Arabidopsis thaliana: one gene and its partners. The protein of the gene in region 2 interacts with the protein of the main gene of each other region in a pairwise test. Each region holds a gene or a part of one and is shown on either strand. Other genes may lie near its edges.

Evidence for each region.
Region 1: the proteins of NIMIN-2 (region 2) and MYC4 interact in binary tests that used the Arabidopsis thaliana proteins (3 or more experiments, as listed by UniProt).
Region 3: the proteins of NIMIN-2 (region 2) and TCP16 interact in binary tests that used the Arabidopsis thaliana proteins (3 or more experiments, as listed by UniProt).
Region 4: the proteins of NIMIN-2 (region 2) and NPR1 interact in binary tests that used the Arabidopsis thaliana proteins (3 or more experiments, as listed by UniProt).

Annotation. Positions count from the first base shown.
Region 1 is NC_003075.7:9,930,550-9,939,124, forward strand, and holds MYC4 (Basic helix-loop-helix (bHLH) DNA-binding family protein), read right to left. Parts: upstream 5,137-8,575; 5' UTR 4,923-5,136; coding exon 3,153-4,922; 3' UTR 2,777-3,152; downstream 1-2,776. Other genes in the region: AGD8 (ARF-GAP domain 8), read left to right, coding at 6,572-6,649, 6,787-6,905, 7,229-7,661, 7,752-8,027, 8,110-8,235, 8,317-8,418, 8,490-8,575. UniProt on the Arabidopsis thaliana protein: Transcription factor involved in jasmonic acid (JA) gene regulation. With MYC2 and MYC3, controls additively subsets of JA-dependent responses. Can form complexes with all known glucosinolate-related MYBs to regulate glucosinolate biosynthesis.
Region 2 is NC_003074.8:9,467,142-9,473,889, reverse strand, and holds NIMIN-2 (NIM1-interacting 2), read left to right. Parts: upstream 1-2,850; 5' UTR 2,851-3,000; coding exon 3,001-3,369; 3' UTR 3,370-3,533; downstream 3,534-6,748. Other genes in the region: AT3G25880 (NAD(P)-binding Rossmann-fold superfamily protein), read left to right, coding at 3,857-3,903, 4,015-4,170, 4,277-4,298.
Region 3 is NC_003074.8:16,529,395-16,535,939, reverse strand, and holds TCP16 (TCP domain protein 16), read right to left. Parts: upstream 4,762-6,545; coding exon 4,264-4,761; downstream 1-4,263. Other genes in the region: AT3G45160 (Putative membrane lipoprotein), read left to right, coding at 2,010-2,285. UniProt on the Arabidopsis thaliana protein: Required during early processes in pollen development.
Region 4 is NC_003070.9:23,850,570-23,859,876, reverse strand, and holds NPR1 (regulatory protein (NPR1)), read left to right. Parts: upstream 1-4,218; 5' UTR 4,219-4,469; coding exon 4,470-5,030; intron 5,031-5,109; coding exon 5,110-5,845; intron 5,846-5,953; coding exon 5,954-6,157; intron 6,158-6,267; coding exon 6,268-6,548; 3' UTR 6,549-7,129; downstream 7,130-9,307. Other genes in the region: AT1G64295 (F-box associated ubiquitination effector family protein), read left to right, coding at 1-323; AT1G64290 (F-box protein-like protein), read left to right, coding at 1,389-2,483. UniProt on the Arabidopsis thaliana protein: Salicylic acid (SA)-binding substrate-specific adapter of an E3 ubiquitin-protein ligase complex (CUL3-RBX1-BTB) which mediates the ubiquitination and subsequent proteasomal degradation of target proteins.

The DNA of each region.
Region 1 (8,575 bases), on a different chromosome or scaffold from region 2:
CGCAAAAAGTGGAAAATGAAGGAATACTACTAATTGCATGTACTTGAAGTCTTGAAGTTGATGATGGATGGTTGAGCCAATTAGAAGATCGATATTTTGAGCATCCTCACCTACTTTAATCATTATCATCGTTAACGTCAAATCTTTCTTTCATTTTTTTAGTTACGACAACGAGATCTAAATCTGAATAATATTTATATATCAAATTATACGTTGAAATTATCATGTTATGGAAAGTCTAATGGTTTATTAAATTATCAGATAATTAATTAGCAAAGTAGGTATATCGAATTAGACTTTTCCCTAGAGACAATGTGCCAAATACCTAATATATATTTAGGTGGTAGAAATGTATAATATCAAATATTGGGATAATCAAAAAATTTAGTCGAAATGACGATTGTTGTAAATAACAATAGCATGATACAATTATATAACTAAGTATTTTTACTCATCTAGTTATGAATGAAAGATTCAATAAATGTTGTTGTATGTACGGAAGACTCAATAGCGGTCACAGCTCTCTTGGCAAAGACAACAAACCACTCCTCGCTCGAGTCTTCAAAGTCATCTTCATCGCAAAACGATGATAGCAATGACTAAAGAGAAGAATTAGAGAGCAGTCTAGTAGATGGACAGTGATTCCTTACGAAATGTAGTGCATACATTTGAAACTGCTAAGGAGTAGATTATAGCCTATAATAATTTAGAAATTTCTAAAACCTTTTGACGCTCAATTAGGGTTGGACACGTTAGATGTTGCGTAATGTCCTAATTACGTTTTGTGTTAAAAAGTGTTTTTTTTTTCTGTGTGATATCCTTTTGTAGATTTTGATAAATGATGTCTCGACTTATATTTATAAGAAAGATCTCACCAAGGTTTAGATACCGAGTATTTAACTTATGGTGTTTGGCGTATTCACATGTTGGCTATTCGCATGAATAATGCGTACTGCGTAGTATGTTTTTTTTTTATAAAGTACTACTGCGTAGTATGTATGTTATGTATGACAAGGCAACAATCCTCTAAGGAGCAACAATCCTCTAAGAAGCAACAAAAGACTTCTCCTGTTCCATCTCAGTCCTATTGACGTATCTGCGAGAATAAGTTCGTGCAATGAAATATTTTGTACTCTCTCATCAGGAAATGTTTTGTTGTGAATTTGCTAACTATTCATTAAGTTTGTTGATTGACGCTATTCCGCTAACTCTCGTGCTAAAACTGAATTTGTCCATTCAAGAATCAAGCCTTTGTATATATATATATATATCTGATTTCTCTTAAACGATAGATGTAATGAATCATATCGTTTTAAATAATGACTAGCCTTGTTATAAGCTAATTTCTTTTCGGCAGCCCATGTCACATGACACATGCTACTTCATTACACATGAATATATTACATATAGCTACTAGGCTCGAATGGTTTCAAACTTCCAGCTTTTGTTGGGCTTTTTGGGTTTTAGGTTTTAAGAAAATCCAAAATTTAATTTTTCCTTTTTCGTAACAAACTTAAGAAAAAAACGGACTTCTTTAATAAAGAAATCTCAAAACAAACAGAGACGATGGATTTTATCCTTTAAAAAGTAAAATCTGTAACAAATTGTTGATATTATATTCTTTTAAAATATATATATACAAAATGAAGGGTGATGGATCAGTTTAAAAAATTCCAAATCCGCACACACTTTGGAGCATCAAATAAAGTACTCTTGACACAGACAACCATGCAACAACATTATACTATTGGTAAGAAAATTTAGCAAACCAAAGGGGTGGATATTCGATCGTCTTGAAATCTTTATAATACTCCATTAGAATGTATGCGTACTATTACGGCATGATAACTATGTCAATAATCTGCCACTAAACAGTGTTTTAATCTAGTCCAATTGTAATCTCTATTGTAATCAAATTGCCATTATTTAATGTACATTTGGTAACTAATTGTAATCTGAATTAGTCTATTTAGTACATCTTTTACGTACAATTAATCTAAAGTTATCCAGAATGAGAAAACGATCATCAAACAAAGTATAGTTAATATTACATGTACAGATGATAAATGTCTCCTTTCGTTCTTTGTTTTTATTTGGCGATAATGTGCCCTATAATTTTAAAAGCGCATGCTTTCTTCTTATCACTCACACGTTCTCTTCGCACTGTCACTCACATTTTCGAGGAGATTATTGCTAAAATGTTTGGAAACAAACACAATAATATATGTTGCAGAAAAATCTCTTTAATAATCGACCACACATGTCTCCACGATTTTTTTGTATGATTTTAACTTTTTCTTCAAAGATTCATAACCTCGCTTTCCCTCCCCCACAACCCTTTTAAGACATCTTATGTTTATATCCCCATGTTTCATTTTGATTTCACCATTTTGGACCTTTATGACATATATTGATTTTTTTTTATTTTTTTAAAGGGTATTATTCTAGTGGTTTCACTTCTTCTGTCAATATCAAGAAATCCATTTAGCATTTGCATGTTGTGCATCATGATTTATGCGACAAACTTAATTACTCTGAAGTAATCTATGGTTCAAAATACTATTTAGAACGATAATGATCATGTAACATCCACATAAATTTTGAGGTCCTACATTGGAATCTCTAAATAGCTGTGATTGATTTAAATTATCCCTATTGAAAACAAAAAAAAGTAGGTATATTCGTTCCTAACAAATTAGATGCCTCTTTTGATGCCAACTTCCCAATGACTAGTCCCAAATGATGAACACAAAAAACTCACTTGAAAGTGAAATACTCAAACTTTAACTCAAAAGACAACAAAAAACTCCAACTTCAGTCCCATTTGTCTTATTTCTAACAAAAGCCTTATTTACATACATACACCAACAAACCAAAGACTTAACCATTGATCAAACACATTTATTTATCTCATGAAACAACAAACCCCAACCTAATCATATACTACACTAAGAATCCTCTCTAACAAGCATTCAATAGCAACAAGTGGGTACTACAAAATTACCCTTACACAATAGAGTTTACAACTACATTCACTAGAGAAACTTGTGTGAAAGGTTTAACACTTTTTACCGCGGCTTATACTATGATCGTTGTTTTCGACTTTTCGCAGTATTCTCCGGTGTATTAGCCCTAAAGATGCTGACTTCAATTCATGGACATTCTCCAACTTTCTCCGTTAGAGCAACCTTGAGTTGATCTTGCGTGAAAAACTGATTCCCCATTTTCACAGTCGCTTGTTGGATCATAAGATCATTCACTACCGATAAACTCGCATGATTCACTTCCAAATCCAACTCCTTAAGTGCTTCCATGAACTTAGCACCAGGATGATTCCTCTTACTACATTGAATCCTTATCATTGCATCCCAACCAATAATCTTCACATCAACCTCCATCTCTATCAACACACTCGATTCTTGATTCAAACATTTTCGATCTTTTACCGAACTTTTCGCATTTCCCGCTTCTTTATTCATCACATCAATCTGCTTCTGCAACTCTTCTTTATCAGATTCAGCCTTTTGCAACTTAGACTTAAGCTCACTGATATACGAAATAGCATCTCCTAATAGAGAAGCTTTATCCATCTTAGACACATTAGGAACCACAGCTCTTAAAGAATAGAATCTCTGATTCAACTTCTCTCTTCTCTGTCTCTCTGCCTCTACATGATTCAAAGGCTCTTCTCTTCCATTCGCCGGTTTTCTCCCTCGTTTCCTCGGTTTCTTCTCCGGTTCAACCACAACTCTGTTACTCTCAGCTTCTTTAGCCACTGAAGCTTCAAGATCAGAGTGATTCGAGTCACATGGAAGAACAGAGGTAAAAGAAAGCATCCCTTCTTCATTATTCGAAACCGGTGATCTCTTCTTATTACTACTATCTTCTTCTTGACCATTCTCAATCCCATTCTTGAAATTCACCATTTCACAAGATTTCAGAACTTTAGGGTTAGGGTTTTCAACAGAGCTTCCATTACAAAGCTTAGAAATTGGTTGAGAATCAGAATTAGAAGTTGAGTCATTTCCACCATTATTCATCACCGGAGCAGCTACAAGACCAGAGTCAACACCATTAGGTTCACTAATCCACAAACCTGGATCATTCTCTCCTTGATCTGGATTCAAATTAAACGCCCAAGAACCAAATTCACCACCACCATTGTTAAAATTGAAAAAGGTGTCAACTTTATCAACAAGATCTGAACTTTGATGAATAATCTCCGACGAACCAAGCTCAACGACACCATTCTCTGTCGCTACACACACCATTGTTTGTAACCCATAAATCTGACCTTGACGAGCTCTCTCACAACTTGATCCAGCTAAAGCATTAGAACCAGATAACCAAATCGTGTCTGAATTTGAGAAAGCTTGACCAGGTAAACCAGTACCCTTGACAAAGCTCTGTGTCATTGAAACTAAGAAGAACCATTCAGTATCTGTAACTTCTTCATCTCCAGCTTCATCTCCTCCTCCTACACCACCGGAGATTAAAGAGTTGAGCTCTCTAATCACTCTCTTACGATGCTCTTGTTCAGCTGCACTAGCTGGATTTGATTTCTTCTTTCTAGACTTCTCTTCTTCTCCTTTGTAATAACCATCTCCCCAACCTAACAACACTGTGTTGTTGTTGTTGTTGTCTTCTCCGGCGAAACCGTGAGATGATTGCCAGAACACGGCGTAAGTCCAGTTCTCGTTTGCTCCTTCGATTAAAGCTTGGAGACGTTGCTGGAGATTATCTTCGTTGACTTGAGGAAGAGGAGGAGGAGGAAGTGGAGGAAAAAGAGAAGAATGATCGGAGCCGCCGCCGATGAAAGCTTCCATTACCGATGCATCGTCGTCGGTTGACCAGAGATTTGTTGTATCCGTTTTTGATTGGTTGAGATGGTAATCGGTTACTTGAACATTCGTCGGAGACATAACAGTTCTCTGACGTAGTTATAAAAGAGAAGACTTTTTGTTTTTCCGGTGAGAGACAGAGGAGAGAAGTAAGTTCTTTAAGCAAAATATTTGTGTTTGGTTTGATTGTTTCGGGAAAAGGAATCTGTTTATATTCATTTTTTTTTTTTAACTCTAAAGAAAAAGAAATAGTACTTTTATTTTCACCAAATATGAATTATTGATTGAGTTATTTCTGAAGTTGGGTTATATACATAACTTGATTGAAAACAATTTTTTTCTGAATAGTAATTGTTTTACAAGAAAATTACTAATCTATGTAAGAGAATCGGATCAAATTTGTCAAGGAGCCTTTTACATCAAAGTTGATAATTAAGAACAATTAAAGAATGAAAATGATATTTCACTTACAATAATGATCTTGTCTCCCTCACTTTTGGTATTGGTGTCAATATCTGCTTTTCTTGTGATTAATCCCATCATTTAATTCTTGTAAGCAAGTAGCATCAATTAATTTAAACAATGAGTTTGTAGAATTGCAGTTGTTCTTTGAGGCAGGAAAATATGATTTAAAGGGATTAAGGGAGTGTTAACACCAAAGATTTGGATACAACATTTATATACAAAACCTATAAAGCAAATATTGTAGACTTGTAGTTTAACATTTTCTTATAAACATATTTTTGTTGGCTTCGTTATTGGACACAACTTTTTGCAATGATAAAGAACAAAAAAAAGACATGGGTGATTTTGATATCAAAGGTGAAAGAGACGCAAGAGCATAAAGGAAAATAAAAGGTATAGTATTAAAACAGAATTAGATTTAATTACGAAAATTATACGACCACACAAAAATAATCACATTATGTCGTGTGGGTCTCGTGTTTTTAGTGGCCAGATTTCATAATATGCTTTCTTTTTCAGTGAGAGCAAATGCCCAAAAATGTTGGTCTCTCTATGTTCATATCCGACGAAACTATAGTGTCTACTGTACAGTGACATTTCGGAATCGCATAAAAGCAAACAAAACAAATTAAGCTGGGCTTTACTTTATATTGGGCCTCACACATTTTGGGTAGTTAATAAAACTAGCCCGCAAATATTTCACATTTGACATTTTTTAGTGTATGGTCAACAACAAGTATAGCGAAACTTTTAGCATATAATATGTGTGAGACATATTATGGAAAGAAGGCAAAAATGAAAACCGTTAGTTAGTTTGAAAACCTGGAGTTATAAAAAGTCGTATTTTAATTTACTAATACATGTTAACTTCAGATATTAAAAACAAATCCTGTACGTATTAAACCATATGATAAACATAATATTAATACGAAAAATGTATAACACACGATTAGACAAATTAGGAAGTAATCTTTGAATTGAGGTTTAAGAAAAGGTGAAAATGATAAGCTTTCGTCCGTTTTATATCATCCATGTTGCTTCAGAAACGGAATTTACACACTACGTGTCGTTTCTACGTAATGCCATTTTCGTAATTTCTAGAGTTTATTCAGGGTGTTTTCGTCAGTCTAGTCAGATCAAATGTTTCCATCAAACGTTAGTACTGTTTCCTTTAGATTTACAGATTTTGAAGAAGAAAGATTTCAAATTAAAAAATCTTTCAAATTTCTTCAAGGAGGTGATCAAATTGAACAATTTGATCTACAATGGCTTCTTCTTCTGCTGACAATCTTACCGACAAAAACATTGTTTTCAGAAAACTCAAATCAAAATCTGAGAACAAGGTAATCAAATTTTTTTCTGAATTCTTCTCTTTCTTTGAGTATCGTCAATTTGATATTGTGTATGTTTAGATCTGAGAGTTGTTTGACTAGATCTTTGATTCATTTATGCTAATTTTGGTTTTGATTTGCCAATTTAGGTCTGCTTCGATTGTAGTGCGAAGAATCCAACTTGGGCATCGGTTACATATGGGATTTTCCTCTGCATCGATTGTTCAGCTACTCACCGGAATCTTGGTGTTCATATCAGCTTCGTCAGGTAAACAATTCATCATCTGATCCAATTCTTCGGCATTACTCTAGCTCAGATTTTGGCTAAGGTTTAAGCTTTTGAGGCCTTTATAAGGGAATTAGCTTAAACCGTGCTCAGGTGTTCAGAATTGTTGGCTAATGTGTAGCATTACGTTGACTTTAGTGTGGTTGAATCATCAGATTATGTTTTAAGGTTTCAGAATTGTTGACTTCAAAATTTCACCAGTGTCTTGAAATTAGACTCATTCAAATTATCGATTCATTGACTAGATAATATTGAATAATGCCACATTACGTTCTCAAGATGCTACCTTTTCCGTTTTTGTATAGATCAACGAATTTAGACTCTTGGAGCCCGGAGCAGCTCAGGACAATGATGTTTGGTGGTAACAACCGTGCTCAGGTTTTCTTCAAGCAACATGGATGGACTGATGGTGGCAAAATTGAAGCTAAGTATACTTCAAGAGCTGCTGATTTGTATCGGCAGATTCTTGCTAAAGAAGTTGCGAAAGCGATTGCGGAAGAAACTAATTCTGGTCTTCTGTCATCTCCCGTTGCTACTTCTCAGTTACCGGAAGTATCTAATGGGGTTTCTTCTTATTCTGTCAAGGAAGAGTTACCTCTTTCGAAACATGAAGCTACCAGTGCTACTTCTTCGCCTAAAGCTTCTAATACAGTTGTGCCTAGTACGTTTAAGAAACCTATTGGTGCTAAAAGGACAGGAAAAACTGGTGGTCTTGGTGCAAGGAAGCTTACTACTAAGGTAAGTCTTAGGGGTATTTTTTTGGAGCATTTACGTTTTTGTTCTCTTGTTCAGATTAAAAGATTGGATTTTGTTTTTGGTGAAATGTAGCCAAAAGACAATCTCTATGAGCAGAAACCGGAAGAAGTTGCACCGGTTATTCCCGCTGTATCATCAACAAATAACGGGGAAAGCAAATCATCAGCTGGTTCATCATTTGCCTCTCGGTTTGAGTACAATGACGACCTGCAATCTGGAGGACAAAGCGTTGGTGGTACACAAGTGCTTAACCATGTTGCTCCACCAAAGTCGTCAAGCTTCTTTTCGGATTTTGGAATGGACAGTTCTTTTCCCAAGAAATCAAGCTCCAACTCTTCAAAATCTCAAGTAAACACATAATTTCTCAGTAACAAAATTAATAAATCGAAATTCCAAACCTCTTCTAAACCATTTCTTTTTCTCTTACTAGGTTGAAGAATCAGATGAAGCAAGAAAGAAGTTCACAAACGCAAAGTCCATATCTTCAGCTCAGTACTTTGGGGATCAGAACAAAAACGCTGATCTGGAATCAAAAGCTACTCTTCAGAAGTTTGCAGTAAGTAACAACATTCACCACAATCTCAAAGGAACATATAACAACATCTTCCGATTCTAATGCCATTGTTGGAAATTACAGGGCTCAGCATCTATCTCAAGCGCTGATTTTTACGGTCACGACCAAGATGATTCCAATATTGATATAACAGCTAGTGATCTCATTAACCGACTTTCTTTCCAGGTAAAAGATCCATACACCTGAATCTCTGGTTCTTCTTCACATTTTTAACCTTTTGACGAATTTTTGATCAGGCGCAACAAGATCTATCGTCGCTGGTGAACATAGCAGGAGAAACAAAGAAGAAGCTTGGAACTTTGGCTTCTGGTATCTTCAGTGA
Region 2 (6,748 bases):
TATTCCGTAACATAACATGATCATGATCACTCTAATAACTTGCAAAATCATTTAAGTTCGGTCCGATTTGAACCGATCAATTTAAACTTGTATTTTAGAGGTTAAGCTCATCCATTATTTGATATCTTACACCATGAACGAACATTTGGTTAACCTAAAGAACACAAAATAAAATAAAAATTTCTAACATTTTTTGCTCGATTCTATTTGGTTTCGGTCCTAATAGTTTTGAAACAACTTAAAACAGGTCGCTTCCAGATTAATCCAAAAAGTTAACATCTCTAGATTAAAATTTATATATCAACTTCAAATTTTATGATTTTTTTGTAAGGTTCATTACGATTCGATCGATTAAAAATTTAAAACATTTTTTACTAAAGAAATACCAAAAAAATATTGAAAGTGTCATTTTCTTTCAATTCCATAAAACGAAAGGAACTCCTAATTTCCAAAATTTTGTTTATTCCACAGCTTTTTTAACATATCGCTCGCATTGCCACATTGGTCCAGACCTACTCCCCTTTTTATTTACAAGATTGCCACTTTAAAGAGTTGGATAATTAATTTAGTTTAAACTAAACATTTTTCTGCAACAATATAGTAGGAAAACAAAAAGCTAGAAGAAAAAAGAAAACAGTGAACGCACGCCTGAATGCATGTGATTGCCTACCCTACGTGAAGAAAAGACGATGCAATTACAGAAGTAAGAAAAACATTTTCTCCACCAATATACAATGACCCTTACTAATTATTACTATTTCAACAAAACGTTTCCTACGTAAGGAAGGCAACAGATTCATTTGATGTCATTTTTCAACGACAATAGACAAAAAAAAAGTAAAGCAATAATAAAGTAAAGTTGTACACTACATATATACTTTTTAAAAATTGTTGAAACACAAAATGTGTGCAAATTTATAACAGTGTATACAAAATGGATGTTCAACTACGTCAAAGACTATTCATGAAGAAAAACGGTCGTGACAAAATTTAGACAAATTAACAATATATTAAATAAAAACTTTTAAAATAATTTTAGTATTACAGAAACATTATTAGATAAATTCGCAATATTTTTGTTCTATTGAAAGAAAAACAAAAAAGAAAGAGTAAGGGATCATTACATTGATTTCACACATACAAGTGTCGGATTATCAGTGTCACGTGGTGTTTAAAATGTAGACATTTCACCATGTGGACTAATACATTCATAAATAATGCAGCCATCGACGACGACCATCAAGCAATTTTTATATGTGGAAAGTTTTTTCAAAAATTATTAGTAAGTGGACACGTCAGACAAAACAGAGAGTTGAAAAAAAAAAAACATAAGTGTAGAGAGAGCGAAAGACACAAGTGGAGCTGGTCGGAAGTTGGAAAGTTGGAAACAGCTTAGCCGCCCACGTCGGCCCTACAATTGATTCGACGTTGTTAAGATATAAAGCCCAATTATAATGTACTTAACTAAAAGGCTTTTACTTTAGGCCCATATGTAGATCTTTGTTTTCTTTTGTTAAAAGTTAAAACACCAATATCAATTAGTGCTTACATTATTCGAAAAATCATTACAAATTTACGTGTCATTTTAAATTGATAGTGGAAATAAATAAATAAATAAGACTAGGAATAATAATCGCAAGAAAATCTTCCCCACGTTAACGATGATCACAATTCACAAGTTCTTAGTCTTCCTTATTTATTTGTTGTTTGGCCAAATTTTTTTGGTCTTTGTTAAATTATAAAAATATAGATCTCTATGTATATAAAAATATGGGTAATATTAGAAACTAACTATGAAATGGAAAAGAATTGAGAGAATGACATTGTGTCAGAAAAGTTAGGTAAATAACATTTTCTGAAAAAGAGAAAATACAAAAATATCCTTGTGTTTACTTATTTTTACAATAATGCCATTGGCTTTAGTTATAAAGTTTATATGTATTTGTCTAAAATAGCATGATATATTTACAAAAATCATGCAATTCTTTAAAATACATACAGAATATATATACACGATATATATGTTTCTCTGAAATAATGTGTTTCTCAGAAATAGCACGAAATATTTATAAAAAGCATGCAATTCTCTTATAGATCGCGAAGTTTAAAAAAACATATAGAATTGTTACAATATTACATGGGTTTTTATTGGATAACATGACAAATATTTATTTATTTCATGAGTTTTTATTGGATAGCATGACAAATATTAATATATCAGTGTTAATAACATGTTTTGTTCTTAAAATACATGCATTTTAAAATCAGACATTTGTTTTAAAATCAAATCTAATCTCTTATATCACAACGACATTGACGGAAAATTCAGGTAAAAAGAGAAAATAAAGAATGAGAGATAGAGAGATTTCTATGGAAAAAGAAAGAGAGAACATGTAGGTGAACAAAATAAAGAGATATGATGATATATTTTATGAGAGGTGGTGAAGATTATTTTAGGAGAGGGAGAGAGAAATAGAAAAAGAAAATGACATGGTGAATCTGAAGAAGATGAATTGTGTTAAAGATGAAGAGAGAAAGAGAACTCCATGGCTAAAGTCTCGTAAAGAAGATGAAAAAGAAACAAAAGAAGGAAGAAGAAAGAGAAAGGCTAAAATAGACTAACTATTGCCAAAATTTCTGTAGCCGACAAATACTATTTGGTCCAAGGTTATTTTGTGTATTCTTTTGAAGTCAAAAGTTATTTCTTACATATACTCTAAAAATATAGCCGATACCAATTTTTCCACACATGGACTTCCTTTATTCCAAAAGTCAATAAAGTGTGACGTCATGATACTTACGCTTTAAAACATCGCATGATGATGTCATTAGCATCAATCTCCACCGTCCAATTTATTTAGTTGTTGACAATATCGACCGTCTAAGTTCCACACCGACGGCTATAAGAGTTTCATTATAAATTTTAGCAAAATAAAATCAGCAAATAATTTTTTCTTGACTAAGCTTAAACGACGCCGTTAACATTTTCTTCTGGCTAACATGAACAACTCTTTGAAGAAAGAAGAACGCGTAGAAGAAGATAACGGAAAATCTGACGGTAACAGAGGGAAACCGTCGACGGAAGTTGTTCGGACGGTAACGGAGGAAGAGGTGGATGAGTTTTTCAAGATATTACGGAGAGTACACGTGGCGACACGAACGGTTGCGAAAGTTAACGGCGGTGTTGCTGAGGGAGAGTTACCGTCTAAGAAGAGGAAACGGAGTCAGAATCTTGGGTTGAGAAACTCGTTGGATTGTAACGGCGTTCGAGACGGAGAATTCGATGAGATTAATCGGGTCGGGTTACAGGGTTTGGGTTTGGATCTGAACTGTAAACCGGAACCAGACAGCGTTAGTTTATCGTTGTAGACTTGTAGTCCTTCATGTTTTTCCCCTTCTTACAATAATCAATTTTTTTTTAACTACAATACTTTTGAAAAAAATGGTAAAAGAAGATTATTAACATGTTATCCAAATTTCAGATTCTTCAGTTTTATTTTATACGTCAAAAGAGAAGTTATATATTTGCAAAACTACAAGTCAAACAAAAGCTATTTAAGCGTTTGACGTTCCTAAACAACATAAATTTTACTAAAATCAATGTTTTAAAAAAGTGTTGATGGTAAAGATATCAATTGGGCCTTTGCCTGGCCCGTTTAGTAATATTGCAGAGTAGGTATGGGCCTGTATAAGGGAGTCCAAAAAAAGAGCGGGCATTGCGGGTTGGGTGCGTTTGGAACTTTGGATTGTGGATTAGTCATGGTTTATCTATTAATGTCTGCGGACTTGTGGACGACGCGCTTGTTCTTCTTCCTCTGTTTACGACTTACGAACATATGATCTCTCATCTCTAACAATGATGGAACCTAAAGCCAAGTACGATCGTCAACTCATGTATACTATGTTAGTCTCTTCGAACTCTACATTTGTATTATTCTATCGATCTTCGAACGAATCTTGTTGGGAGGAAATTTTATGAAGTAATCGTTGATTGATTAGGATTTTGAGGTGAAGTCAAGGGACTTTGGAAGAAGCGAGTATCTGTTTACTCAATTGTGGTCCTATTGGTTCCAATGCCTTGAAGAATCTCGTCCTTGGTGGTGTTGGTAGTATCACCATCGTTGAAGGATCCAAGGTTCTAATTGGAGACATTTGGAAACAATTTCATAGGTACTAAGTAATGACTAGTTTTTGATTTTTTTTGTTGCTATTTTTAGATGCTATTTGTGTAGTTAAATAGTTATGACATCTCTTTTTCGTCGTTGTTTGGTTATAGCTGGTGGAAGATTCAATGGTGAACCTAGATATTAACGATGGAGTAGACTGAACAGTTTGTGTTTGGTGATAACACAGAATTACAAAACTTGTGGAATAACCATTTATTACGGTCAAAGTCTCTTGTCTTCAAAGGCATGCAATAGAACAGAAGTTCTCCATAAGCGAAGGTTTCAGAGACGAGAACAACACTGTGTTTCAGAGACGAGAACAACACAGTGTGTTTCAGAGACAACTAGAACAGAACAGGATTGCGGGCCAGACCGTTAGACCAATGGACATTGCGAGGCGAATATGGGCTTCGATTGGTCGCATGTGGTCGTTGGCGGACCGGACCACCACTTATGGAAAAGAAGCACGGGCCATCACGGACCCCCCATTTGGTCGCGTGCTCGCCCGTCTGACATCCCTAGTTGATCGTCATCTAGATTTTAGACGTTTATGTGATATCTAAATAACCGTTTTGGCTGTCTAAAATTCCATAAGTTTTATTTTAGTTTATTTTTTAGTTTTCAACTATATAAATTTAAATTATAAGTTTTAGCTTTGTATATATTGTTTGTTTCCAACTATATAAATTTAAATTATAAGTTTTAGCTTTGTATATATTGTTTGTTTCCAACTATATCAATTTAAATTATAAGTTTTAGCTTTGTATATATTGTTTGCTATGAATTATAAATGGTTTTATCTAAGTTTTGTTTATAATTTCATATTTTTATTTTTCTAAGAGATAGTTTTCTATGAATTTTATTTATAATATAATATTTATAATATGTTATGTTGTAAATGTGTAGCCGCTTAAAATCTCCTAAATCATGATTAGACGTTCTAGGCGTAGATCACCACCTCTTAAGTAGCTAGTTAGATTTAGCAGATTATCCAGTTATCATGCAGATTAATTGTATTAGATAGATTTTGGTAAGATAGGTGAATTTAGCCTAATGCTTTTAAATTTATGTATTTTAAAATTAGTGAATACTGAATACTCATATTTCTTGCTTATGTATTTTGATTAATTTAAAATATACAATTTATTTCTATTAACTTGTTTTTATTATGTTATATTAATACAGAAATATATTTTATTTTTATTTGAAAACTATTTAAACCTCTAAAAAATCGTCTATCCACTAATTGACTAATTGTTCTAGCCCTTTAGGCATTAAGCAGAGAGTTATAGTCCATTTATTGTTTTCTTGACATTGGAAAATACTAATAATGCGTAATTATATTAAAGGGCTTTTGGACCTTGTAAGTTGTAGGTTGGCAGACGAAATTGGACAGAAATTTAGCGCAAGACGAGAATTGTGCAAGTGTGAATCACATCCATCCATTTTAATATGACGTGCTATCTCGTTCTTTCCTATGATACTTTAAGTTAATTGAATAAGTCAAAAGTGGATGATAAGATATAGAATTACTAACACGAAATGATATGATTGAAGCAAATTAACATGTCTTCTTTTTGTTTTATATACATAATTCTCAAATCTTTTTTTTCTTTTAAAATCTATTATATCTTTCTAACACAAACAATATATTAAACGAGTTAAAAGTCTAGTCATTCACAATAGTAGTAGTTGTGGACTTAGGTTGCTAGTCAAGCTAATCTTAATCGAGATATGTATTGGCATGACATATAGCTGTGTATCGAGATATGTACATAGACCTGCACGGCTTTATACATGTGCTGGAAAATCTGATATACAAGGTCTATCCAAAATTTGTCTTTTTTTTTATACGTAAATCTATTACAATTAGGGTCCAACTATTAGAGCATTATAATAGTTGACTATCATCATTTTCTCTTTTCGTAAGGCTTTCATAGTTTTTGCAAATGGCTTTGCTCGAAAACGATTGTTTCGGTTGCTTCCCAACAAAACGCTATACCAAACAAAGAATTACAACTCGAACAATTTTGTCTGGATTACATGGACCGTCCATATTGGCCACATAAATGACGTGTTATACATGAGCATACAAATTAATGAAATGATATAACCTTTTATTTTTTGGGTGCTAAAGTCGTTTTGGGTACAAGTTTATAAGATCCTAATCAATCATCTACACATGGTAAAAAGATTAAATATTTAGTAATTAAGAAATTTCTTTCTTACAGCTATCTGAGCTTGACATAATTTTAACTTTTTAAGATTGCGATATCCAAATCTTCTCAGGTTAATATTTTCCAGACTGAGATAGGTTGCAGAGAGAATTCTCTTTCATAAAATCGTTTTTATTTATATCTATTGTGATCGTAGTTTCAAGTATGTATCTATAATATGTAATACAATAAAATTAAAAATATTTAATAAGTATGTACAATAATAACCTATGACCAAAAAAAGATATGTTTTATAGACTAATTAATTTGCAAATAAGTAAGTTATTTAGATAAAATAATTTGGAAAATATGTTGAAATAATAATAGATATGAAAACATCGCAAAACCAAGTTGAGCATGCTACAA
Region 3 (6,545 bases), 7.1 Mb from region 2:
GTGATTTTCCTCTTTCCAATCTAGAAGCAACATGTAGACAAGTCTCACCAAAATTACTCTATGATCAAGACGTTAAAATTTATCGACCGCTCGAAAGGACCAATACATTGTTAGTCCCGCCCATTGGATCCGCATTATAGTGTCTCTTAGGGGCAAAACTCAAAGTCATTTCATAGACAATTTTTTTTTCTTTTTCGAATACTAAGAGGTTTTGGGCCGAAACCCGTAATCCTCCTAGGCCCGAAACCACGACATGTAATATTAATTTTGTCCCAAGCGTCACTCGAACCAGCGACCTCTAAGTTTCGCCCAGGGTTTTTACCAATTTAGCTAACGACACTTGGTCTTCATAGACATTTCTAGTATACAAAAACACATCTTCAACTCGTGTTGGTGAAAATGTCGTTTTGCTGGATATTTAGTGAACCAATTAGGGTAGCGATTATATCAACCAGAGAACAAATGGATTTTAATCCTCCGATGATCGGTAACAAATGTCGTACTAGAATATGTTCTTTGGGAGGTGGAATATGGGAAATAATGCCTCCTTTGACGACCTATTAGTCCGAGCAAATCTCAAAAAATCAATTCGAAAAGTATCCTATGCACGAATAGTAATCACTCAGGTGTTTTAGAAAAGTTTTAATCTATATATACATTTTTGCAGCCATTTTAGCAAATAAATCCTGCACTTGGACTTATTTACAATCTAATGCCATTAGCATTAAATCTTTTTTCCAAAATAATTAATTTTACTTTAAATTTTTGATTTAAATTGTCAATCATATTATGAATCAAATTTAATCCTACCAAACTTCAAATCAATCCCTTAAAATTAGCATAAACATATTTGTTAACAATATTTTAAAATAAAGTTTTTTGTTAAATAAATATTATTCTTACTAAACGTTTTTTTGTTTAAATAAATAAATTTTGTATTTGAATTTATTTACAATGTCATGTCACTGACATTAATTATTTATTAATGAAAATATTTAATTAAAGATTTAAATCTTCTAAATCCTTGCTTTTAGAGTTATTATGTCATTACCTTATAAACAAAAATATTATTTTTTTAAATATTATTATTTATATATTTAAAATTTATAAAACATTATTAATATTTAAACTTATAAAAAGTTTGATATATTACAATTTTTTAACATCATTATATAATATATAGAGTTTAAAAAAATCTTAATTTTTCCGTCATATTTTATGATTCAAAATTTTAAAAATGAACATATATTAACCAATTAGCAAAAAATGTGTGGGTTCAACGTCCCGCATCGACAAAAATATTTAGACAATGATTTATAAACATATCTTTAATAAGATCAACATTAATATAAATAAATGGTTTTTTTACGGGACGGATTTGGCGGGACGGGTTTGGCAGGACGTTACTTAATAACAATTGTAAACTATAAAATAAAAATATATTATAAATAGATACAATTTGCAAAAAAAATATTATACTAACTTTAAAAAGATAAATTGTATACCGCGGGATAAAATCTAGTTACTTTTACACTTTTGTAAAAGCACCACTTAATACAATGCTAATCCATAAAGTAACGTGGGTTTTCCCTATTCGTAGTGCCAATAATAGACAACCCTTTTTCAACCAACTTCATCATTTTGTCATCACAATTCTTTCCTTCTTAAGAAAAAATTTAATTCTCCAATAAGAGGCCTCTCCCACTTGTGATTGTCTCACCACTAGGCACCGGGGGTCACATCGTACCTAAATCGTATAATTTTAAAATATGATCTCAAATAGTCAACCCACCATAACAAAAACCCTATTCTCCTGCATGTATAAATATCAATGTCTTAAACTCTTATCTTTTTCCCTTTAAGGGTACTTAACTAAACCCATCAACGCTTGTTACGATTAGTTGCAAAGGTAAGTTATACTCATTTCATGTCAATATACTAAGATCTTCAAGGTTCTGTTTATGTAAAGACTATTCTTTCTTTCTTTTGCAGCTCATAATAAAACCAATATGGGGATAAACTCTAAGCATGTTGTGGTTGTTATTATGGTGATGATGGTCATTATAAGCTCATGTTTGGCTGCAAGGAATATAATTCCCCGGGAAACTAATCAAGAAAGCGAAAAAGTGTCCCGAGAGATGATCATAGGGAAAGAAGAAGACTCTACTGAGAAAATAGAGCACCCAAGAAGCAGCGTGGAGAATCACCATTATATCCCAAGACAAGATTTCTACAACTATGGACCTGGAGGCGAAAATAATGGAGGAGGTGGTGGTGGTGGATAACTCAAAAGAAATCGCGAAAACGATATCAATATGAATATATAGATGTTAAAGAAAAAAAAAATTATAAAAATAAAACCTATGAATATGAGGCAATCCTTCTATAAATCTGAACCTCTTAATGCTTTATTAAGAATGTCTAATTATGTTCGATTATTGTATTATCTTTTTTTTGTTCCCTATGTATAACTGAGTAATTCTATTTTGAAAAATACTTTCTTGCACTTTTTTGGCCATCGATGACCATTAGAACCGTCAGAGTTGCTTGAAGCTGAAACCGTAGTTCCCTAAACAAAAACTGTTGATACTCAAATCATACAATTCATGTAAAGGTTTAAGGAGAAGGACGGATAATCTCTTATAAGACGAATTAGGTTTGGCGAATACAAGATTATACAAGGTGAAGGTACGAGTTTACAAGGACAATCCGAGAAGACAATGTATCCAACTCGTTTGAATAAAGGTGCAAGAATGACGGACAAGGCGTTTGGTTCGAAAGATGTTCGTACGTACTAACGATTAAAAAAAGGCTTCCTAGGAACTCAATGGGGAAACTTGTACGAAGGAGATTACATGTACTCTCTACATATGTGTCAGCGTGAAATTCGGGATCCTTTCTCGACAGTGTTTTTCCGCTTTTATAGGGAAGATATATGCGGTCATGAACTCGGGATGATTTTTCTTTTCTGCTCCCAGCAAATTGACGATACTTAATGGGCTGAGCTTGTGTAACGGACCAAACGCAAGTCTCTTTCTTATGGGCCTAACTATATTTGGGCCGGGCTTTTTGGAATGGGGCGGAACCCATGTCCAACAAAAAAACAGAAAACTAAAGTATTAATATATGTTGCTAAAAGAAATTTTAATTGTTAAGAAAAATCTTGTTATTCATGGAAAAAGAAAATAAGTTTTTCTTCAAATTTTATTAAACATGGTATGATTAAATTTATTTTTATACTATAAACTATATAATCTCTTTTTCTAGCTTAAAGTGAGCTGGAATTTTCTTTAAGAATTTTAAACCATTTTCTTACTCAAGTTTTTTTTTTTAATCTAAATAAAGGTTAAATAGTATTTTTCTCTAAATACATATTAACCAATCTATAAAGTAAAAGAATTTAAGGGAAAACTATTAAAAGTTTATTAAAGTAATTTTTATTTACACAAAAATTAGTTTCTTATTCTTTAGATTTAGTTTTCCTTCCTTTTTTTTTTCTTTTTTTTTCCTTGAGAATCTTGAAAATAATATATATATATATATATTAAAATATATATCTGTGTATTAAGAAATATTAAAATAGATGTATGAAGCTAAATACAGAAACAAATCTTAAATAATTATTGTCCAGCTAAGTGTGAGCTGGAAATTTCTTTAACAGATATAAAACCACATTCTTACTCAATTGTTCCTTTTATTATCTCTTTAATTTATTTATATTATAGTTTTTGATATCCGTTTTTAATTAATGTTTTCATAACCGTTGGAACCTTTAGGTTCGAAAGACAAACGAATTTTGACAAATTAGAAAACGGAAATAAATAACTGTACATAAAAGTTATGTTTCGGTAAATATTATGACAGAATTATTTATTCTAGAATACCAACGAAATTGTTCGTGTCCAAAAAAGAAAAAATGAATCAAATTTGTTGTGAAGAGTTTAATTTAATCCATTGTTGAAATCAAATTCTCTACTAAACTTCAAACATGGACAAACAGTTTTAAATTACATCTATAATTAATTTTAGGTATTATTATTCATCTTAAAAAAACATGAGCATACAAGAAAAAAAGACAAATGGATACCGATCGAACTAAAACAAACCCTAGTTCAACTCTCAAACTGAAAAACATGAAGAGGAAAGAAAAAGCAAACAGAAACGAACTAAAACGTCCAGAACTGAACACTCTTAAATCTCCAATATTTATTTTAAAGACTCCAAATTGGCCTTCTCAGCGACGCCGTCTCCTCCTTCACAAGCTCAAACTGTGGTTGTGGCTGTTGTTGTTGCTGCTGATGTTGTATCACTGGCGGTAGCATTACCATTAAAGGTGGAATTGTAATTATCACTAATAGTACTGTAATTAGTTGAAGGTGCATGATCTGTCATTGTAGAAACCGGAAACACCATCTGACGATGACCAGTATTTACAACCGTACAAGGGAAAACGTTATTACTAATATTATCACCATTAAAGGTGTAACTAGGAAAATTCCTATTTGGCTGGATATCTTCATTGGAGGTGGTGGTGACACCATGTCCCGTGGCTGCGAAAATGGCAGGCTCGGCATTCTGGAGGAGCCAACTGACAGTTTCACCATCGGTTTTAAAGCCGAGTTCTTTTGTCAATCTAAATAGTTGGGGAGCAACACTCGGCGGGATCCGAATGCGACGATCACGGCCACCAATTTTCAAATGGCGGTCTTTTGGAGTCCTTCTTGCCTTTTGGCTGTTGTTAATTCCATTTTTCGAATCCATTTTTCTCTGTTTTTTTTTTCTTTTTCTTTTGTAAATGGAAGTGGAAAATATGTTTGTTTCACTTGGATTATATAGAAACGTTACAGAAAACTCTATTTCTATTTATGTTATGTATGGAAAACAATAATGGTGTAACAAACTAATAATTAAACTAATTGGTAAATAGAAGAAATCTTAAATTTATATAGGTATATTTGAGAATGAAATATTATCATGTAATATAATATGTAGTATAGAAAATATATTTAGTGGACCTGAAAAAAAGAAGTTATATTGGAATAATTAATTGATAGGTCCACTAAAAAAAGGAAAATAAACCTTTCTTCTGGCAGTTTACAGAAATTATTATTTACTGATACAACTGTACAAGTATAGTCCTATTTTATCCTATTTTAATTTTTTTAAAGTTAAGGTTTTAGTTTTTTTCCTTAGAAATTAATGATATTCCAACATTGTTATTTAAAATATTATATTGTTATTTTTAAACTAGGTGTTTGGATAGGAGTTCGCATATTTTTTTTTGGACGGTTAATTTGTTCTTCAGATATTGTCTATTTGTTTATTTATCAAACTATATTTCATTTAGGGTCAAATTCCCCGGACTATCAATTCTGAAAATAGAGATTCAGACTTAAAAATATATATCCAGAAAATTCCCTTAAGCTAACCCATTCGGGATAAAAAGTTTTTGAGGCTTAATCCCACCAGATTCAAGCCGGCCTAAAAAAATTTTAATTTTTTTTTTTACTTTTCTTTTGTTAATATTTTTCTTTAATTGGAATATTTGTTTTTGTTTTTTTTAATAGTATTGAAAACCCTAAACCTAGTTTTTCAATTGTGCCTTACTATAAATCTAAAAAACAAATCTTGGCTCGACTGTCTAGATTAAAATCTTCTGATTTTATATTTTATTTGTTATGAGTTTAAATAAAAAAATTAGATTATTTTTTTTGATTTTAAACCTTTTTTTTTGAAAATAAACTGGCTTTCATGGTTATTTAAATTTCAACTGATTTGTTTTGTTCATATATCCATCTTTCAGAAATATTATAAATTATAAATTTGTTTTTTTCTGGAAAGAAAAACATAAAAAACCTGGAAAAGTCTTGTCCCTGTTATTACCAGATCTTGAAATATAAGTTCAAATTTTTTTATTTCAAAATTTTTACTAACCGAACCAGACTAAATAAAATATATTCGAATTTTCTGGACTTTGTCAGACTGGACTAGTCCAATTGACATGTCTAAACTATTATAATAAATTATTTGTATGTAAGAAAATATATCCAAGTAAAATGATGGGTTACAAGACAGATGGTTTAGAAATAACCTGATATCATATTACCCGACTCTTACACATACTTTGTTTTCTTAAAACGGATAAGAGTTGGATAACATACTGTATATTGTTTGGTCAGCCTTACTGTTTTCATTTCCAAACTGACTTTTCAAATAAAGAACTAAAAAAAAGTCATCACCATCATTTTGAGCATGTTTCTATAACTCAAGCGGAACACTTTTAGAATTCGTCAAATCAAATATATTTTGACTCATTTTAAATCAAATATTCACTTTTACGAGAATAATTAACGAATTCTATCATCATTGAGCTATGATTTCATACGTATACCTTATAATTTAGATTATACTCTAAATTAGTGTGATGTTAAAAATTCAACAAATATTTAACCCTCAAACACTTACCGAGGTACTGTGTAAATGACTTCTTACATACTATTGAGCGTTCGAATTAATTGATCAAATAGAGATTTGCTTTTCAGCTA
Region 4 (9,307 bases), on a different chromosome or scaffold from region 2:
TAGGTGTTATTCGTCACTGGATAAACAACAATCAAGAAGATGTTCACAGATTATGGGTTTTAAAGAGCAGTTTTGAAAAGTCGTGGGAAAAAGTGAAAGATATTGAAAGCATTGGAGTAGAGCATATTACGTGGATACCAAGCAACGACGTCGTAATGCTTTCTAGTTGGGATCATGTTTGCCTCTACAACTTAAACACAGAGAAGTTAAACTTAGTTCATACAAACAAGGATTTTGCCTCTTACGTTTGTTTCCCCTTTTGTTCTGATTACGAGAGGGTTGATCTGGACGGAAGAAGAAATGGACCGACAAATGCAAACTAGTCAACAAGGCTCAACGTAGGGCATAAAATAATCAACAAGGCTGTAGGAATATTTAATTTTTTTTTTTGGTAGGGATAGGAATATTTAATTTTGTTATATGGTTTTGTGCTTCTTAAAAGCTTAATGCAAACATTGTTATATGAATATATTTATAAGCAACAAATATATGGACAAAACACGTAAGATGTTACTATTGTTCAGTAACACGTATGTATGTTATTGAGATTATAAGTTTTCATTCATGTCCTAACTAGTCATTTTTGGTATCCTTTAAATCAGAATCTTCCCCTAACTATAGTACTAATTGATCCCAAAAAAGTGTGGGCCAAAAACTTTCTTCAGTGTTTATATATTGTAATTTAACTAAAAAAAATTATTAGTTAGTGTGATGAAACATTTAACAAAAGTATAACTAGAGTTTTTTTTCTTCTTTTAATTTCAATATATTATCTTAAAATTTAAAATTACTAAGGAAACTAAGAAAGTACTAAGATAACTAAGGAAATAAAAAGAAAGATAAATCTATGGAAAATGGAAATTACGTAAGTTAATTAGAAATTAAATCTGCTAAACAATGATAATCTTTTTTGTGCTAATTTTTATAAGAAAATAAATTGGCCAAAATGGTGAAATTGACTTGTGGATTATTATACAAGCTGGATGTTTATTAAAAAGAAAGAATTGTCAATTATGATAGAAACATTATTATATAATGAGTTGTTAATCTATTAGTAGAAAAAAAAACAATTAAAATCCAAAGATTGTTGGGTAAAAAAAAAAGTTGTTTCCTAAGTCTAGCAATTAAATTACTGTAGATTTGGTTAAAAGTCTAAAGATAAAGTTTTGGCTTAAGGTATCACAAGTAACATTAATCATGAAAGATTTTATCTTTTGGTTAATTTGTTTGTTTTAGGACTAGCGAAGAAAAAGGCAAATTTTGATACTTTCCTTAAACAAAGAAAGGATATATAAACACTTTATTCATCATAAGTTGTTCTCTACCGATCCTGATTTTTTCATTTCTCATTCAGTGATCGTGCTCATCTCTTTATTCCCGACAGGATCATGAGTTCTCCGGTGATAAATCAAGACATGATCCAAGAATTTCTTTCTTATCTTCCGGCGTCAAAAATCGGAAAATTCAGGCTCCTGAATAAAGAGTGCAACAAGAGAAGCTACGAGTCATGGTTTGTCAATCTTAATCTCCTTAGAACCAATCGTATTTCGGGATACTTCATACAACACTACATAGTAAAAGGACACGAACTTCGAACCAGTTTTGTCCATGAGAGGAGTGATTTACAAAACAATGGAGTCTCCATCGACTTTCTGCCACCCGGAATGATAAAGATCGAAGCTTGTGATGCAAGTCATGGGATATTGCTTTGTGTTAAGTATACAAAACCATCACGTGGATACATAGTCTTCAAACCAACCACTAAACAGTATCAGGTCATACCAAAGCCAGAAGTGAAGGGTTGGGATATGTCATTGGGTTTAGCGGTAATCGGATTGAACCCTTTCCGGTATAAAATACAAAGGCTTTCGCAGTCTCGGCGTATGTGTATGTCTCGGGGTATCTACCATTTGAATCACAGAACTTTTATGTGCGAAGTTTTCGATTCTGATTCGTTTACCTGGAAGAGATTAGAAAATTTGCGTCTACCAAAAACAGACAGATTAATTTTTTCCAACCCGATACAAGTTTCGGGGTTCTTGCATTGGATATCACGGAACAACAATGTGATCCGGTTTTGTCTCAAAACCGAAACTTGGTCCTTCTTCCATACTCCGAACTCTGATGTTTTCTCAGGATTAGTCAGATACGAAGGGAAGCTAGGTGCTATTCGTCAGTGGACAAACAAAGATCAAGAAGATGTTCACGAGTTATGGGTTTTAAAGAGCAGTTTTGAAAAGTCGTGGGTTAAAGTGAAAGATATTAAAAGCATTGGAGTAGATTTGATTACGTGGACTCCAAGCAACGACGTTGTATTGTTTCGTAGTAGTGATCGTGGTTGCCTCTACAACATAAACGCAGAGAAGTTGAATTTAGTTTATGCAAAAAAAGAGGGATCTGATTGTTCTTTCGTTTGTTTTCCGTTTTGTTCTGATTACGAGAGGGTTGATCTGAACGGAAGAAGCAACGGGCCGACACTTTAAAAAAAAAATAAAAAAAATGGGCCGACAAATGCAAACGTAGTTGACAAGGATCTCAAGTCTCAAGTCTCAATTGGCTCGCTCATTGTGGGGCATAAATATATCTAGTGATGTTTAATTGTTTTTTATAAGGTAAAAAGGAATATTGAATTTTGTTTCTTAGGTTTATGTAATAATACCAAACATTGTTTTATGAATATTTAATCTGATTTTTTGGCTAGTTATTTTATTATATCAAGGGTTCCTGTTTATAGTTGAAAACAGTTACTGTATAGAAAATAGTGTCCCAATTTTCTCTCTTAAATAATATATTAGTTAATAAAAGATATTTTAATATATTAGATATACAATAATATCTAAAGCAACACATATTTAGACACAACACGTAATATCTTACTATTGTTTACATATATTTATAGCTTACCAATATAACCCGTATCTATGTTTTATAAGCTTTTATACAATATATGTACGGTATGCTGTCCACGTATATATATTCTCCAAAAAAAACGCATGGTACACAAAATTTATTAAATATTTGGCAATTGGGTGTTTATCTAAAGTTTATCACAATATTTATCAACTATAATAGATGGTAGAAGATAAAAAAATTATATCAGATTGATTCAATTAAATTTTATAATATATCATTTTAAAAAATTAATTAAAAGAAAACTATTTCATAAAATTGTTCAAAAGATAATTAGTAAAATTAATTAAATATGTGATGCTATTGAGTTATAGAGAGTTATTGTAAATTTACTTAAAATCATACAAATCTTATCCTAATTTAACTTATCATTTAAGAAATACAAAAGTAAAAAACGCGGAAAGCAATAATTTATTTACCTTATTATAACTCCTATATAAAGTACTCTGTTTATTCAACATAATCTTACGTTGTTGTATTCATAGGCATCTTTAACCTATCTTTTCATTTTCTGATCTCGATCGTTTTCGATCCAACAAAATGAGTCTACCGGTGAGGAACCAAGAGGTGATTATGCAGATTCCTTCTTCTTCTCAGTTTCCAGCAACATCGAGTCCGGAAAACACCAATCAAGTGAAGGATGAGCCAAATTTGTTTAGACGTGTTATGAATTTGCTTTTACGTCGTAGTTATTGAAAAAGCTGATTTATCGCATGATTCAGAACGAGAAGTTGAAGGCAAATAACTAAAGAAGTCTTTTATATGTATACAATAATTGTTTTTAAATCAAATCCTAATTAAAAAAATATATTCATTATGACTTTCATGTTTTTAATGTAATTTATTCCTATATCTATAATGATTTTGTTGTGAAGAGCGTTTTCATTTGCTATAGAACAAGGAGAATAGTTCCAGGAAATATTCGACTTGATTTAATTATAGTGTAAACATGCTGAACACTGAAAATTACTTTTTCAATAAACGAAAAATATAATATACATTACAAAACTTATGTGAATAAAGCATGAAACTTAATATACGTTCCCTTTATCATTTTACTTCAAAGAAAATAAACAGAAATGTAACTTTCACATGTAAATCTAATTCTTAAATTTAAAAAATAATATTTATATATTTATATGAAAATAACGAACCGGATGAAAAATAAATTTTATATATTTATATCATCTCCAAATCTAGTTTGGTTCAGGGGCTTACCGAACCGGATTGAACTTCTCATATACAAAAATTAGCAACACAAAATGTCTCCGGTATAAATACTAACATTTATAACCCGAACCGGTTTAGCTTCCTGTTATATCTTTTTAAAAAAGATCTCTGACAAAGATTCCTTTCCTGGAAATTTACCGGTTTTGGTGAAATGTAAACCGTGGGACGAGGATGCTTCTTCATATCTCACCACCACTCTCGTTGACTTGACTTGGCTCTGCTCGTCAATGGTTATCTTCGATCTTTAACCAAATCCAGTTGATAAGGTCTCTTCGTTGATTAGCAGAGATCTCTTTAATTTGTGAATTTCAATTCATCGGAACCTGTTGATGGACACCACCATTGATGGATTCGCCGATTCTTATGAAATCAGCAGCACTAGTTTCGTCGCTACCGATAACACCGACTCCTCTATTGTTTATCTGGCCGCCGAACAAGTACTCACCGGACCTGATGTATCTGCTCTGCAATTGCTCTCCAACAGCTTCGAATCCGTCTTTGACTCGCCGGATGATTTCTACAGCGACGCTAAGCTTGTTCTCTCCGACGGCCGGGAAGTTTCTTTCCACCGGTGCGTTTTGTCAGCGAGAAGCTCTTTCTTCAAGAGCGCTTTAGCCGCCGCTAAGAAGGAGAAAGACTCCAACAACACCGCCGCCGTGAAGCTCGAGCTTAAGGAGATTGCCAAGGATTACGAAGTCGGTTTCGATTCGGTTGTGACTGTTTTGGCTTATGTTTACAGCAGCAGAGTGAGACCGCCGCCTAAAGGAGTTTCTGAATGCGCAGACGAGAATTGCTGCCACGTGGCTTGCCGGCCGGCGGTGGATTTCATGTTGGAGGTTCTCTATTTGGCTTTCATCTTCAAGATCCCTGAATTAATTACTCTCTATCAGGTAAAACACCATCTGCATTAAGCTATGGTTACACATTCATGAATATGTTCTTACTTGAGTACTTGTATTTGTATTTCAGAGGCACTTATTGGACGTTGTAGACAAAGTTGTTATAGAGGACACATTGGTTATACTCAAGCTTGCTAATATATGTGGTAAAGCTTGTATGAAGCTATTGGATAGATGTAAAGAGATTATTGTCAAGTCTAATGTAGATATGGTTAGTCTTGAAAAGTCATTGCCGGAAGAGCTTGTTAAAGAGATAATTGATAGACGTAAAGAGCTTGGTTTGGAGGTACCTAAAGTAAAGAAACATGTCTCGAATGTACATAAGGCACTTGACTCGGATGATATTGAGTTAGTCAAGTTGCTTTTGAAAGAGGATCACACCAATCTAGATGATGCGTGTGCTCTTCATTTCGCTGTTGCATATTGCAATGTGAAGACCGCAACAGATCTTTTAAAACTTGATCTTGCCGATGTCAACCATAGGAATCCGAGGGGATATACGGTGCTTCATGTTGCTGCGATGCGGAAGGAGCCACAATTGATACTATCTCTATTGGAAAAAGGTGCAAGTGCATCAGAAGCAACTTTGGAAGGTAGAACCGCACTCATGATCGCAAAACAAGCCACTATGGCGGTTGAATGTAATAATATCCCGGAGCAATGCAAGCATTCTCTCAAAGGCCGACTATGTGTAGAAATACTAGAGCAAGAAGACAAACGAGAACAAATTCCTAGAGATGTTCCTCCCTCTTTTGCAGTGGCGGCCGATGAATTGAAGATGACGCTGCTCGATCTTGAAAATAGAGGTATCTATCAAGTCTTATTTCTTATATGTTTGAATTAAATTTATGTCCTCTCTATTAGGAAACTGAGTGAACTAATGATAACTATTCTTTGTGTCGTCCACTGTTTAGTTGCACTTGCTCAACGTCTTTTTCCAACGGAAGCACAAGCTGCAATGGAGATCGCCGAAATGAAGGGAACATGTGAGTTCATAGTGACTAGCCTCGAGCCTGACCGTCTCACTGGTACGAAGAGAACATCACCGGGTGTAAAGATAGCACCTTTCAGAATCCTAGAAGAGCATCAAAGTAGACTAAAAGCGCTTTCTAAAACCGGTATGGATTCTCACCCACTTCATCGGACTCCTTATCACAAAAAACAAAACTAAATGATCTTTAAACATGGTTTTGTTACTTGCTGTCTGACCTTGTTTTTTTATCATCAGTGGAACTCGGGAAACGATTCTTCCCGCGCTGTTCGGCAGTGCTCGACCAGATTATGAACTGTGAGGACTTGACTCAACTGGCTTGCGGAGAAGACGACACTGCTGAGAAACGACTACAAAAGAAGCAAAGGTACATGGAAATACAAGAGACACTAAAGAAGGCCTTTAGTGAGGACAATTTGGAATTAGGAAATTCGTCCCTGACAGATTCGACTTCTTCCACATCGAAATCAACCGGTGGAAAGAGGTCTAACCGTAAACTCTCTCATCGTCGTCGGTGAGACTCTTGCCTCTTAGTGTAATTTTTGCTGTACCATATAATTCTGTTTTCATGATGACTGTAACTGTTTATGTCTATCGTTGGCGTCATATAGTTTCGCTCTTCGTTTTGCATCCTGTGTATTATTGCTGCAGGTGTGCTTCAAACAAATGTTGTAACAATTTGAACCAATGGTATACAGATTTGTAATATATATTTATGTACATCAACAATAACCCATGATGGTGTTACAGAGTTGCTAGAATCAAAGTGTGAAATAATGTCAAATTGTTCATCTGTTGGATATTTTCCACCAAGAACCAAAAGAATATTCAAGTTCCCTGAACTTCTGGCAACATTCATGTTATATGTATCTTCCTAATTCTTCCTTTAACCTTTTGTAACTCGAATTACACAGCAAGTTAGTTTCAGGTCTAGAGATAAGAGAACACTGAGTGGGCGTGTAAGGTGCATTCTCCTAGTCAGCTCCATTGCATCCAACATTTGTGAATGACACAAGTTAACAATCCTTTGCACCATTTCTGGGTGCATACATGGAAACTTCTTCGATTGAAACTTCCCACATGTGCAGGTGCGTTCGCTGTCACTGATAGACCAAGAGACTGAAAGCTTTCACAAATTGCCCTCAAATCTTCTGTTTCTATCGTCATGACTCCATATCTCCGACCACTGGTCATGAGCCAGAGCCCACTGATTTTGAGGGAATTGGGCTAACCATTTCCGAGCTTCTGAGTCCTTCTTTTTGATGTCCTTTATGTAGGAATCAAATTCTTCCTTCTGACTTGTGGATCCAGCCTGCTTCACAAGGCTCACCAGGTTGTAGTCTCCAAAAATATCATGGAATTGTAAGCAAAAACAATCCAGACAGAACCTGTGATAGACCCAAGGTTCTTGCCACAGTGATCCGGGTTCGTTAATAACAGCAACTATGTCCGGGTGAGGACTGGAGACGAGGCAAACGTCTTTCCTTTGTGTTACCTTCTCTCTGATATTAGTGAGAAACCAACGCCAACTATCAGTGGACACTTCTTTGGTAAGCGGAAAGGCAAGCGGGAAAAAGCAATCATCAGCGTCGAGTCCTGAGGAAATCATCAATTTCATAGGGTACTTGCCGTTCAAGTCTTTTGAATCCACTATGATCAGAGGTCTACAGTGTTGAAACCCTTCAATGGACTGTGGAAACGCCCAAAACGCGCCACCGAAGGATGCAAATTCAGGATTAGGGAAAAGCTCATATTGCAGTCCACAAGTAGCCCATTAGATGAGTGAAATGCAGCCAATTAGTTTAGGCAATACTCTGAAACTCTGATCTTTGATTACTTCCTGTTCTGCTGCCCGCAGCTTTGAAGTTTTAAGCATGTCACCAAACTTTTCAACTCTGCTGTTAGAGTGGGTTGTACCCTGATCAGACACTCAATCTCTTCTGCTGCAAATTACAAGTTGAAGTTTTCCGGCTTAATAGAACAACAAGTATGTGGACCAACTACACTTAGTTATCTTAACAAGTCCATGTTCTTCTATTCAATCTGCCCGACGCGACCAATTGCATTTCCATCTGATGCATTTAAACGTATACTCGTCCTTCTCAATCTCTTGTACTACACACTTTTGCTGCCCTCTAATGGAACACCAGTCCACCGCCTTCTTCAGCTCATCCCTATCTTTAAAACACAACCCTACACGCAATTCATGATCATCAATCCACAAACTAGACAAAGTACACTGTTTTGAAGCACTCGAATCAACAACACCTTTACTTAATAAGCACGCATACGGTAATACCTCTAAGCCTGGCACATTCAAACCTTGTGTGCATCATCTGAACCCGAGTTTTTATCCGTTATTTCTCCATCCCCACCTCCACGAGTGCTACCATTTCCGAAGTCAGAATTTTCCTCGTCTTCAATCCACCCGTTACTGTTACCCACTCCCTGAACCTCTAAACCATTATCTCTCTCTACTTTCACAGATGCATGTGACACATAATCAGTAGCTTCTTGGGGTTGTTGCGTCCTCTGTGTATTCGAGGAACTAGCGGGATATTCTATTACGGATGAACAAGCAGCATGATCAGTAACATTATCAGATGTCGATTTCACTTCCAAATACAACTCCACATTTCTTATAGAAGGATGATAACTTGGAACTTCAAGCATAGTCTCCAAACTAGTGTCGTTCACTACATGAAGAAGTAGATAGATAAAGAGATCCGGTGAAACAACTACAGGATACCTACCAAAATATATTGAACACTGATTTCTGCAGCTGCAATCCAAAAATTGGATAAAGACCATTCAACAATGTACTTAACGCAGTCTTTTGCCTAACCTTGACCGTTTTAGGAGTGGATCCTTCATAGTAAACACCATCAGGACCATACTTGGTAGAACCTTTCTCTCAAGGTTTCCATCGCCATGACCATAACAGTCCTGCAGTGAATTCTAAGAAAAATGTAAAAAATTTTGGCCTAAACTCATAATTCTTAACATACGAAACCATGGAGAACTCCATGTCTAAAAAATAAAGGCTAAAGCTTTTTGGCGACAGAAGCAGATAAATCCATTCAAAACACATAAACTCTAAACAATAAACAGTGATACTCAATACTAAGACTTGTAAAGGTCTACGTAACTCAAAACTGGAGAATTTCAGATCGGGTGTGGCAGAGAAGCTTGGATTTTGCAAGAACTTCAACTAATTTCGCCTGTCGCTGAGGACTTCTCCGGTGACGAAGCCACTTGTCACCGATGACGAAGACAC